Caenorhabditis elegans: one gene and its partner. The protein of the gene in region 1 purifies or fractionates together with the protein of each later gene. This does not show direct contact. Each region holds a gene or a part of one and is shown on either strand. Other genes may lie near its edges.

Evidence for each region. The genes of interacting proteins can lie anywhere in the genome.
Region 2: the proteins of F44E2.4 (region 1) and F11G11.13 fractionate together in Caenorhabditis elegans (co-fractionation; one large-scale study listed by BioGRID). This does not show direct contact.

What each region holds. Positions count from the first base shown.
Region 1 is NC_003281.10:8,832,423-8,840,014, reverse strand, and holds F44E2.4 (LDL receptor domain-containing protein), read left to right. Parts: upstream 1-1,590; 5' UTR 1,591-1,639; coding exon 1,640-1,959; intron 1,960-2,533; coding exon 2,534-2,731; intron 2,732-2,774; coding exon 2,775-2,940; intron 2,941-2,987; coding exon 2,988-4,085; intron 4,086-4,995; coding exon 4,996-6,707; intron 6,708-6,753; coding exon 6,754-6,907; intron 6,908-7,020; coding exon 7,021-7,224; 3' UTR 7,225-7,535; downstream 7,536-7,592.
Region 2 is NC_003280.10:4,874,731-4,877,962, reverse strand, and holds F11G11.13 (arginine kinase), read left to right. Parts: upstream 1-1,783; 5' UTR 1,784-2,464; coding exon 2,465-2,476; intron 2,477-2,521; coding exon 2,522-2,683; 3' UTR 2,684-2,719; downstream 2,720-3,232. Other genes in the region: F11G11.15 (Ovule protein), read right to left, coding at 2,861-3,118.

The DNA.
Region 1 (7,592 bases):
TGTCATCCATCGGATTTCCAAGGCTGAATATTTGGGTTATCTGTTCTTTTCTCTCTCGCTCACCTTTCTTACCTGTGTCCAACATTTGCATTTTCTCTTGTGTGTTGAAATTCGGGAACACACAGTGATGACTGACGAGAACGGAAGGATGATGGGAGGAGGAGGAACTGCTGGAGAATTCGAAGAAGAAGGCGCGGCCAACCGAAATGAACAATTCGCACAATAATACCGATAGCTTCCAATTATGACATTTCCTTTCATTTGTTTCCATCCTTTTCCAATGCGCTTTACATATTCTCATTTACGCATGTTTTTCTGGTTGTTAACAAGATGTTTTCATTTTAGATTTGAGAAGCTTTACAGCAATTAAACTTCCCAACTAGCGTCGAAGTTATTTAAACATTTTCAGTTTTACACAGCCTTTCCGAATTGTTTTTTCTTATTCTTTTTTTTAAATTAAAACACAGTTCTGAATTGAAAAAGCTCGTTGTACATAGTTAAAGTCGATGCACCATGTTTCAAAAACTAGACTTGATTCAAGACTCCACCGGTTTTGCTAAGTTTGACAAAACACTTGCCAATATTTTAAAGAAAATCATAGCAAAGCTTGTCAAACATTTTCTGAAATTTCTTAATTTTCAGTCAAAAAATGGTAAACGCTCAGTTTTGATCTCTGATCGTCCTGGAAGCCATACAAAAAATTCTACGATTTCATATTTTTTAAATTGCGTTTCAACTGTTTTTTAAAAGTTATCTTAGGTGTTTGCTTCTGCTGCGATGTTCAATATTCGAAACTCAATAAATGCAAAATTGAAAAATTTAGCAATTTACCGAAATTTTGACTTTTGAAAATTATATGGGCTTTTGGTGCTTTCAAACATTGTCCAGTGTAAAATTGAATGGCTCATGCTTATCTTAAGTTAAAATAAGAATTGAAAGGAAAGTCGACGTTTCAATAGTTTTTTATACAAAAAATCCATAGGCTTGAATATTTGTTGAACTATTCTGAATGACCACTCCACCTGAACAAATCCGATTACCATATATCTCAATAGATTAAGTTTCTAACAATGTGTGACAAATCTCGATTCTCAGCTTCTTCTTCTTCGCCAACTTTCTCTACACTTCTTCTTTTTGCCGCTCCATCTCCCTGTCAATCCGTACCACATTAGCCTTGCTGCGTCTCTACGCTTCTCAATGATCCATTATTGAACCTTAAGCCTAATTTGAACGCGCGCCAAACCAATCCACTGGGTGCCGCGCCCCCTTACCGATTCTGGTTCTTCAAGCTTCCTTTTTTCCAAAACTACTTTTCTATTATGCTTCATCGTTACGCCCCATCTTTTATTTTGACCTCCACTAGTCATCGTCACATCGTTTATACTTTTTACAGATTTTATCCAGTATAAAAATTTAGATACCGTATTTCCTCTATTAGTGTTGCACCAGACTACTTCATTTAAAAGGTTATTTCATGGTTCATTTTAAATTGGCTCCATCAAATTGAATTAATTCTACTTGTAATTGAATACTTTTCTCATTTTCCAGTGTTCTTCAATAAAAAAATTTAATTTCTTTAATTTCTTTCAGCCTCAAAATCAGAATGCGTTGGGTGTTGCTAGTATGGCTTTTAGCAGCCATGGCGACGTCAGCTGTTCAATCAGCTGCATGCCCTCCGAACACATTTACGTGTGCCGATGGAAGTTGCATTCCATCAGATTGGAAAGGAGATGGTGAGAAAGATTGTGAAGATGGATCAGATGAAGAAGCGGTTACCGGTGAGACAACAACAAAGTTTGATGAAGTCGTCAGTGCACCGACAACACCTGGATCAGATGAAGATTGTGATTGGGGAATGCAACAGAGAATTGATAACTGCTCTGAGCCAATTGTACACTTTTTAAGTCAAATTGAAAGATTGAACTTGAAGAATATGTCATTCCTGACGTCATCGGAAATGTGAGATTTTTTTAAACCTGAAATTCTCTTAAATGTGCACTGTCATTCCACGGTTGATTTTGCGATGTGTCCATCAGGAACCTCGCAGCATTAGAGAAACTCGAAACAGCCAGGAATCGGGCGGGGCTTAATTTTGGAAATTTGGCAACGGAGAAGAAAATCTCCGAACAAAATTTGATTGCATAAAAAAACATGCACAAAATGTCCAGCGAAAAACTGCCTCTGAAATTTTTCTCTCTGTTCTCCGAATTGTTTTAAAGCTAAACTAATAGTAAGCCAATTTTTCAATTGGTAAAACAATTAAATTTTAATATTCGAAAACTCGGGCACCCTCAAAATTGAGTTAGGAGCTTTTTCTACAAATTGGCTGGTTTTAACTATTGTAGACAAGCTTCAGAAAGATCGGAAGTGAAAATCAAAGATAAGGCCGAGGGTTTGCTTTTTCTAGATCACGCTCTATGCTTGAACCTCTGAAAGTACCATATGGCTTTGTTGAGAAGCTGAAACTGTTCACTTTTCAAAACAATCCATCATTTCATAATTCTTCAAATCTATCAATTTCACTTTTTTCCAGTCAATCGCGATTCGAAGCCGGATGTAATCTAATGACAACCTACCAAGAATGTGTTGGAAATCAGAAGGGATGTATGCCAGATGAAGGTGTTCATTCATGGGGAGAAGTTGAAGTTTTTATGTGTCAATTGGTTCTTCCATCAGTTAAAGAACATGCTGGATGCTTCAAATCATCTGCTGATCCAAGATGTGATGCTAGGTGGTTCTGAATATTTGTATAGTTTTATATTTCTTTGTTTCAGCAAGACATCATCATCTTCCACTCTCTGCGGCCTTGTCACCTCAATTCAAACTGCCACATCTTGTTTAGAAACCATTCGCCCGGAAACTTGCTCCTCCGATGCTATTGAGATGCTCAGTCCAATCAGAGAAGAGACTGAACACATCGTGTCAGCCATTAGATGTGTGGTAAGAATGAACACTTAGTCTTTCAATTCAACATAATAAGCTTTTAGACACCTGAACAGCATGCATCAAGCACTACTCTAATTGTCGATGAGACAACTGAATCAACATCGGCATCCGCTGAAGATGATGATGATGATGTATTGACAACAAACACTTCTGAAGAATCAACAGCAACTACTGCTCATGATGAAGAGGTTGAGAATAAACCAGCTCTTAATATCAATATGGCTGATGCTGTCAATTCCCTATATTACATTTATGATATCTGCTCTGCCAATTATTCTGCTGATCCATTTGCAGCTATTGCTGATAAAATCTGTGCAAAGCAGGATGAAATTGCAAAATGGTCTAATTGTTATCAGAAGACATTGGAGAAGGAGAAATGTGCAATCAGAAATGCCACTTCTAAATGTGAGGCATTGATTTCTTATAATAACAATTTGGATTGTGCCATTGTTACCATGAATGATGAATGTGAAGTTGATGCTCAAAATCTTGTTGTAGAACTTCAAGAAGAAGTTAATGATCTCATCATTGCTGGAAAATGCTTTGAAGATAAGAAAGAAGAAGAAAAGGAACCAGTCAATGATGGTGACTTCCATCTCCAATCAACTCTTCCAAAATGTACTGAAGAGCAAGAAAACGGAGCACTTGGATGTCTTGTTGAACTTGTTGAGATTAACAAAAAGCTCACAGCATTTGCAAATCTTAACTTCCTTTTGGAAATCGCCAGTCCAAACTCGACGGTTGTCGAAGGAATTTGCTCATTATTTGCTCGTTACGAACAATGTCTATCTGCAACTGTATTCAAAAATTCTCAACGCTGCTCGTTTGCTTCTCCACTCAATTCACTCGCCAGAATCGGTCTCGCACCAATCTGTTCCCTGGATTCCCGACCATTGTTGTCAAAGCACAGAGATTGTTTCGAGAAGCTTGCCACAGAAGCTGATGAAGATACAAATTGCCAATCATCTCTTTCAACTCTCTCAAATACAGTTCAAATGATGCTTCAGGGAGTTCACGGAGAAGCTCTTCTATGTAAATCTTTCTACACAATCAGAGATACTTTCACTTGTGGAGAAAGAGCTGTTAAGAACAAATGTGAAGCTGATGCATTGACTGATTTGCTTAGTTTGAAGACCAAGGTTAGTTGTGAACTTTGATTCTTTTTGTTTTAGTTGTGATTTTCGGGAAAGATGACGCCAAACTAGTTTATGAGTCATCAACAGCTTTTCGCATTCAGCCAATGTGAGGGATGGGCAGGAGAACAGATTTAGAGAACGGGTTCATAGTTCAACAATAGTTTTTGACCGTTAACGATGGATTAGTGATATTGGGGATTTTGTCAAAATACACTGAAAACCCAAATAAAACGTTTTGTAATGTTTAATTTTCTTCAAAATGTGCAATCAAAGTTATGGCAAGTTACCGTTTTTTTTTAATTTTCGTAATGAAACACCTCAAAAGTTTTTAGATTTTCCACTCAAAATTTTGGTAAATTGCCAATTTTTTTTGAAAATTTTGGACTTTTTAAGTAATTGCTGCCGGTTTGAACTTCTAAGACGTTTCATTATAAAACATTAAAAAATTAAAAATGACCGTAAAAAATAAATAATTTTCCCAAATTTTTTAGCATTGCCCATATAAGAATTCTTTTAACAAGGATTATTTTCTCCACGTTTATTACCTTTTAGCTTGAGAACTGAAAAAAGTTAACATGTTTTTCTAGTGAGATTCTTAAATACCAGTTGCTACATATACTGAACATCTTAAAACCGATCCAATTTTTACAACATTCTAAATCTTATTCTGACTCTCAATTCAAGTAAAAACTTGAACCGGTTCATGTTGTACTAGTTGTTCCCATTGTTATAGTTGAAGTAATTATTCAATCAAAAAACAACCTATTTCGCTTATCAATCATTATGATGATTCTGGTTTGATTGTAGTTATGTTGTCATGAATAACAACATACATATATATGAGGGCAAAGATAACTTCAAAAAATTCACTATCTCTGAATAAAACTATATTGTAAAAAAATATAACTTTCAGATGACATCCCTCGGAGAAGAAGAAGGTTGTCCAAGAGATCCACCAGCAAATCTTGATGAAATTATTTCTCGTCCAGTTGCTCGTCCAACGCCAGTTACCATGCCACCAAGAGCACCAACTGCCAAGCCACTTCCAATCCCATCTGCACCAACTCCTCCAGTTGCTTCATCCAAGTGTTCTATTGAAGATCAAAAGAAGTTTGAGGAATGTGTGAAGCCTCTTACTTCATTCCAGCCACATCCACTTTCAGTCATCGCAATTCCAAGAGATATTGATCAGGCATGTGAGGCATTCCATACGTTTAAGGCATGTTCTGCAGAGAGTAACTGTCATCCATTATGGGCTCGTGGAATGAGTGCAATGTTTGAGTATGCTTGTAATGAAGCAAATGAGCAATTCAAAAAGGTTCGAAAGTGTATTCGTGAAACATCAATGATTGAAGAAGTTCGTTCATGTGTCTCTGACTTCTCCCGAGGAGCACCAACAGCCGCTTGCATGTCCTCCAACCGTCTTCATTCATGTGCAATCCCACAAATTCAAGGAAAATGCGGTCAAGATGCTGCTGATTGGGTATCAAATTACATTATCAGATTTGCTAATGCTATTGATGTCCGATGCAAGGTTGGAAGACAACTTCCAGTGGGAAGAGTTGTTGGAATTGGATGTTCCGCTGAAGAGGAATCAATTATTGAACACTGTGCAGCTCCACTCAATGATATTGGGTCTCGAGTGGAAGAGTTGTTCGCAGGAGGAATGCAGTCACTTATCAAGAATATCAATTCACTTGCTCCAGTGTTTGCAGGAGCTTGTAACTTGACTGATGAATTCAAAACCTGTGCTCATTTCCTTCTCGAAGGACGTACGTCATGTGTCGTCTCATCTTGCATGGTTGAGGCTGGAAGAGGAATCTGTCAATTGTCCGATCCAGCTAAAGCAATCGATGACAATCTCTCTTGCCTTTTCGGTCAAGCTCAAGAACCAAAGTTTGCTCAATGTATAAGATCAACCATCTCTACTTTGAAACAATTCAACTTGTCAACTTTGAGAGCAGTTCTTCCAAAATTCATTGATTGTACAAGAGACATTGTTGTGGCTAAATGTGGAGAGAGCCCAATTAAGATTATGAAAGCAATGAGCACTCCAGATATTTGCCCAATTCGTCCACATCAAGCTCCAATTGTTCCAATTAATCAACCAGCAAGAGTCACTCCAACTCTTGAAACTGTTCTTTCATCATCCACAATGGTTTCAACTTCTTCTGAATCTGACTCTGAATCTGCGCCGGAACAAGAAACAGAACCAACTGTTCCATCTACAACCGAAACAACCGAATCCCCATCAACTCCAACTGATGGATGTGGAGAATCTGGACTTGTTGAATATCTTCAATGTGAAACACATCTTGATCAATTCGCTTTCCGTCCAATTTCTATCATCGGAGATGCTTCTAAATGGGATCAATTCTGTCAAATGGCTAATCAAACATACATTCCATGTGTTGAAGGACTCAAGTGTAAATATGAGCCAGCTGCATCTGCTCAAATTGGTCTCATTGACTCGATTTGTAACAGAAAGATCACTCTCAAAGATCAGAAACAACACGGTATGTGCCTCTCGGAGTACACCAAATCCGATGCTGGAGTTGCTTGCATTTCTGATTTTGGAAAGATTGATCAATTGGATAGCAGTTCTCCAGCACAAATGTGTGATGGGTGAGTTCTAAAATAAATAGTTTTAAAATTATAAACATGTTTACAGAATCAACCAGGTAATGAGATGTTCAACTAGTGAAATCGAGAAGAGATGCGGATTTGACGCTGTTTTGCATGTCTTCAGTATTCATATGCACTGGGCTAATCTATTCAATGCTTCTTGTATATTGGAGTCTCCAGAGCCAACGAAGGATTCTACGGTCAGAATTTTATTAGCTTTTAAATTTGATAGCAAACATTTTACGACGTAAATTTCGCTACTCAACCTAGCTGTTTCATAAAAAAGATCAACTCTAATCTATATTTATTTCAGAGCATTGATGTCAATGAAGTAGAACCATCTCGGGATCAGAAGCCAGTAGTTGTAACAAAGGATGAGACAACACCAGTATCAATCACAACTGCTATGAATAATGATATCACAGAATCAGAAACGACACAAAGTCCTCCAGTTCAATCTTCTGTATCATTCCACATTATTCTGGCAGCACTTATTCCATTTTTTGCCCTTTTCTAGGTGCTTTCTTGCTCCATTCTCACCGTTGATTGTGATGTCATTGCACATCGATTTATTTCTCATACTGGTCAATTTTCATTGTTTTTTTTTAATATTCTTTGTTCAACTATTTTATCTTCATAATTTCCCCAAAATGCTCCACTTCTTCCCAAACCTTTTTACAGATCTTCTGCAGGGTTTCTTAACCTTTTTTCTTCTCTACTTTTAATCACATTTTCGCCAACTTCCACGTGTATACGGTGTGCTACATTATTTGATAGGCTTGAAGCCTGCATTTGTATACTTATGATGTAATAAATTATTGAAACTTTTAAAAAGTGTGAAATCTTAATGTTTATAATGTTTTTAAAATTGTTTTTTTAGCGCGC
Region 2 (3,232 bases), on another chromosome or scaffold:
GGAAGTTAGTGTCAATTTTTACAGTTGTGCCCACTTGAAATATAACATATTTTTTAGTATCTATCCTGTTTTTATATCGACAAAGAATTTAGGCTAGTTTTTGTAAAAACCCATATTGAAAATTTTAAACAAAACACCTACTCGTTGGGTTAGTTAGTTAGCCTTGATATATAGTTTAAGCTTGTCTTGAATTCTCCGAAAAATTACAAGCTGGCACTACTTTTGGCAATTTTTGGCAACCTTTCAGGTTTGTGTACAGATATTTCTGAAATATCTAGACACTTAACGAATGTTGTAATTGAACATTACACGTATTCGGATCTGCAAAAGACAACATTTTGATTGTTAAAAATTATGATTTCAGTTTCTAGCAAGTTGGAATAGAGATACTATTTACTAGAAATGTTTAAAATAGTAAGGAACTAGTACTGACTTCTTGATCTTCCGGAATCTGTAACTTTTTTCAACGCCCGATTTCTGCGAATGTGGAAATTTTTATCTGAAAATTTAGAAGCTCCAGTTGTTCGCTAAAGTTTATTATGGAGGTACAAAATTTCAAAAAAGGGTCCGATTGAGCTATTGTCTGAATTGCCTGGAATATTTCCAAGTTTTTCTTGTCATAAAAATTATGTTTTAGAAAAAATGCCAATTGAATAAAAAATGCAAAAATAAATATACTTCAATCTAAAGTTCGTCAACTATTTTATAGCGAGATCAATCTAGACCGAAATACGTACGAGCACCGCCTTATGCGAAACCGCAAAGTTTCAAAGGGGAGAAGAGCCGGAACTTGTAGAAAATCATTCCAATGGTTCTAAAATAAACAATTAATTTTCTATTTGCAGTGATAAAGTCTAGATTACTCAATGTCACCACTCATAAGTTTGGAAGCCTATTAAAAAAACTAGTTTTTCTACGAGTTGTACATATACTCTAATTTTTTTCGAATTACTTGGATTAGTAAACTGTAGGTGTTAAAGCATGTAAAATTGCTTTAAATTTTTCAGTGAGCACAAAGTGTTGGTTAATTGATTTATTAACCAAAACTGTGACTAAAAACTTTCCAAAACTTTAACTGGAAATTTTCAAGAATCTAAAACGTATGTATTTTATTATGCCATTTCGTTCTTCTGTATTTTTTGAGTTTTAAACATAATCCCTATTAAACTAGTTCCGGCAGCTCGAAACGTTTGTGTCTTCTGTAGAATCTTTAGAATCTCTAGAATCTTATCTCAAGCTTGCACTTGTTCCTTAAAATTTCTCACGTACCTAAGAAAGCAACTCTATCAATCCAATCCCCTCTCTCTCTCTCTCTTTAAAATGTTGCTAGTCACATCTCGCTTAGCGGCCAGTAAATCAATGAGCGCGATTTGTGATCGTCTCTTTTTTCGCTTTTTATTCTTCAAACGGAACGAAATCACCCATGTTCATCTTTCCCTCATTTCGACACCCATAGCTGCCAATTTTTGAGGTTTTAGCGTTTCAAACGCTACCAATCTTACAAAAAATCGCGATTTACACAACCTGAAAATGTTGAACCAGGAAGATTTTAAAATTGATTTTTTGAACGAAGGAACCGTTCAGTATGTTATCATTTTTTTAATCAATTTTAACAATATCAGAACGTTTTGCTGAGAGTGTCAGTGTCCTTCGAGAACTTTCACTTTTCAATAAATGAGAGGGAAAGTACAAAAAACAAACAGAGAGAGAGATAAAAACGAGAAAATCGGTTTAGGTTCATCGGGTCGTTTGGAAGGACAATAAGGAGATATCATTAACATCACTGATTTGAAATAGCTTAGATATTCTAATGATAATGTTATTAGACGGGATAAAATACCTTTAATTTAGATTTATTATTTAGTGAAATTTATATATTTTCAATTGGAAAATTGTATTTTCTGAAACTCTCATAATTTTCAGTTGTTGTAACGCAAAGATCTGAAATTTCAGATGCTTTCCTGAAAAAAAAAACGAATTTTTTCTATGAATTTCTAGATTCAAAAAATCCATTACTCAAAAAATCTCATATTCACTGTGGGCGTTCTAGTAGAAAAATGCACTGAATTTCACTTAGGTACAACAGTGACCGCTCGTGCATTAAAGTAACAAAGGATTTTTTTTGAAATGTTTTGTCTTAATTGAGCTTTCACCAAGTTACCTGTACTTATACGAGAAAATAGGCATTGTAGGCAAGAAGGCAGGCAGAAGGTAGGCACGCACGGTCGCTTTTTGGTTTTTTTATTTCTATAGATTTTCGATGAGTATAATTCAAAAACTAGAGGTTCTAGCAAGTAATTTTCAACAATCAAGATATTGGCCATATATGTAATTGTCTACATTTCAAAATAAAACATTTGATCATGTAGATTTTTTTTGTTCAAGAACGTCTTTGAAATCATCGGTTCACATTAAGTTACCAAAGATTTCGGCAAAGGACGACTTCAAGAAGATTTGCAGTGAGATGAAGCTTCAGGTATTTTTCAAGTTTCTTTTCAGCAAATTACAGTGAGTTTTTCAGATTCGTGGAATTCACGGAGAATATTCGGATTTGAAGGAAGGAATCTATGACATCTCGAACAAGCAACGCCTTGGACTTACTGAGTATCAAGCCGTTCGTCAGATGTACGATGGATTGAAAAAGTTGATTGAGTTGTGGAGAAAGCCGCCGAATAAGAACTAGTATCATTTTCAATGAAATAAATTTTTTAGTAGATGATTTTTTTTTCATCCCCGGTTGTTTGCAGTTTCAAAGAATTGGGTTTTTAGATCAGAAAAATTAGAAAGTATATCGACACATTCTAACAATTTTAACTTGATTTAACTTCCTTCTAATTTTCTTCGAACGTTTTTTCTTCTTTCAACAGGTTTCATGAAAATATTGCAAATACATTTTATTGATCACAATCCAAATAAATAGAAAAAGGAATAACAAATATTTTGTTAGTGGACATTTTTGTATAGAAAAAGTGAGATATAAGCTGACAAAATTGAACAATGGGGTACAATACAAAACGATGAAATACGATAGGTGGTTGTGAAGCCGACATTGAACATACACCCCGGATAATTTTGCACTTTCAGGATTACTGTAACTGGCAACTACATGATGGATCATTGATCAGATTGCTTGACCCGAAACCTATCAAAATGCATTTAATCTATTGAACCTGATGATTACTGTAATAATGTTGGACCTCACATTATTTCAGCTTCTCCATCAATCTTACCA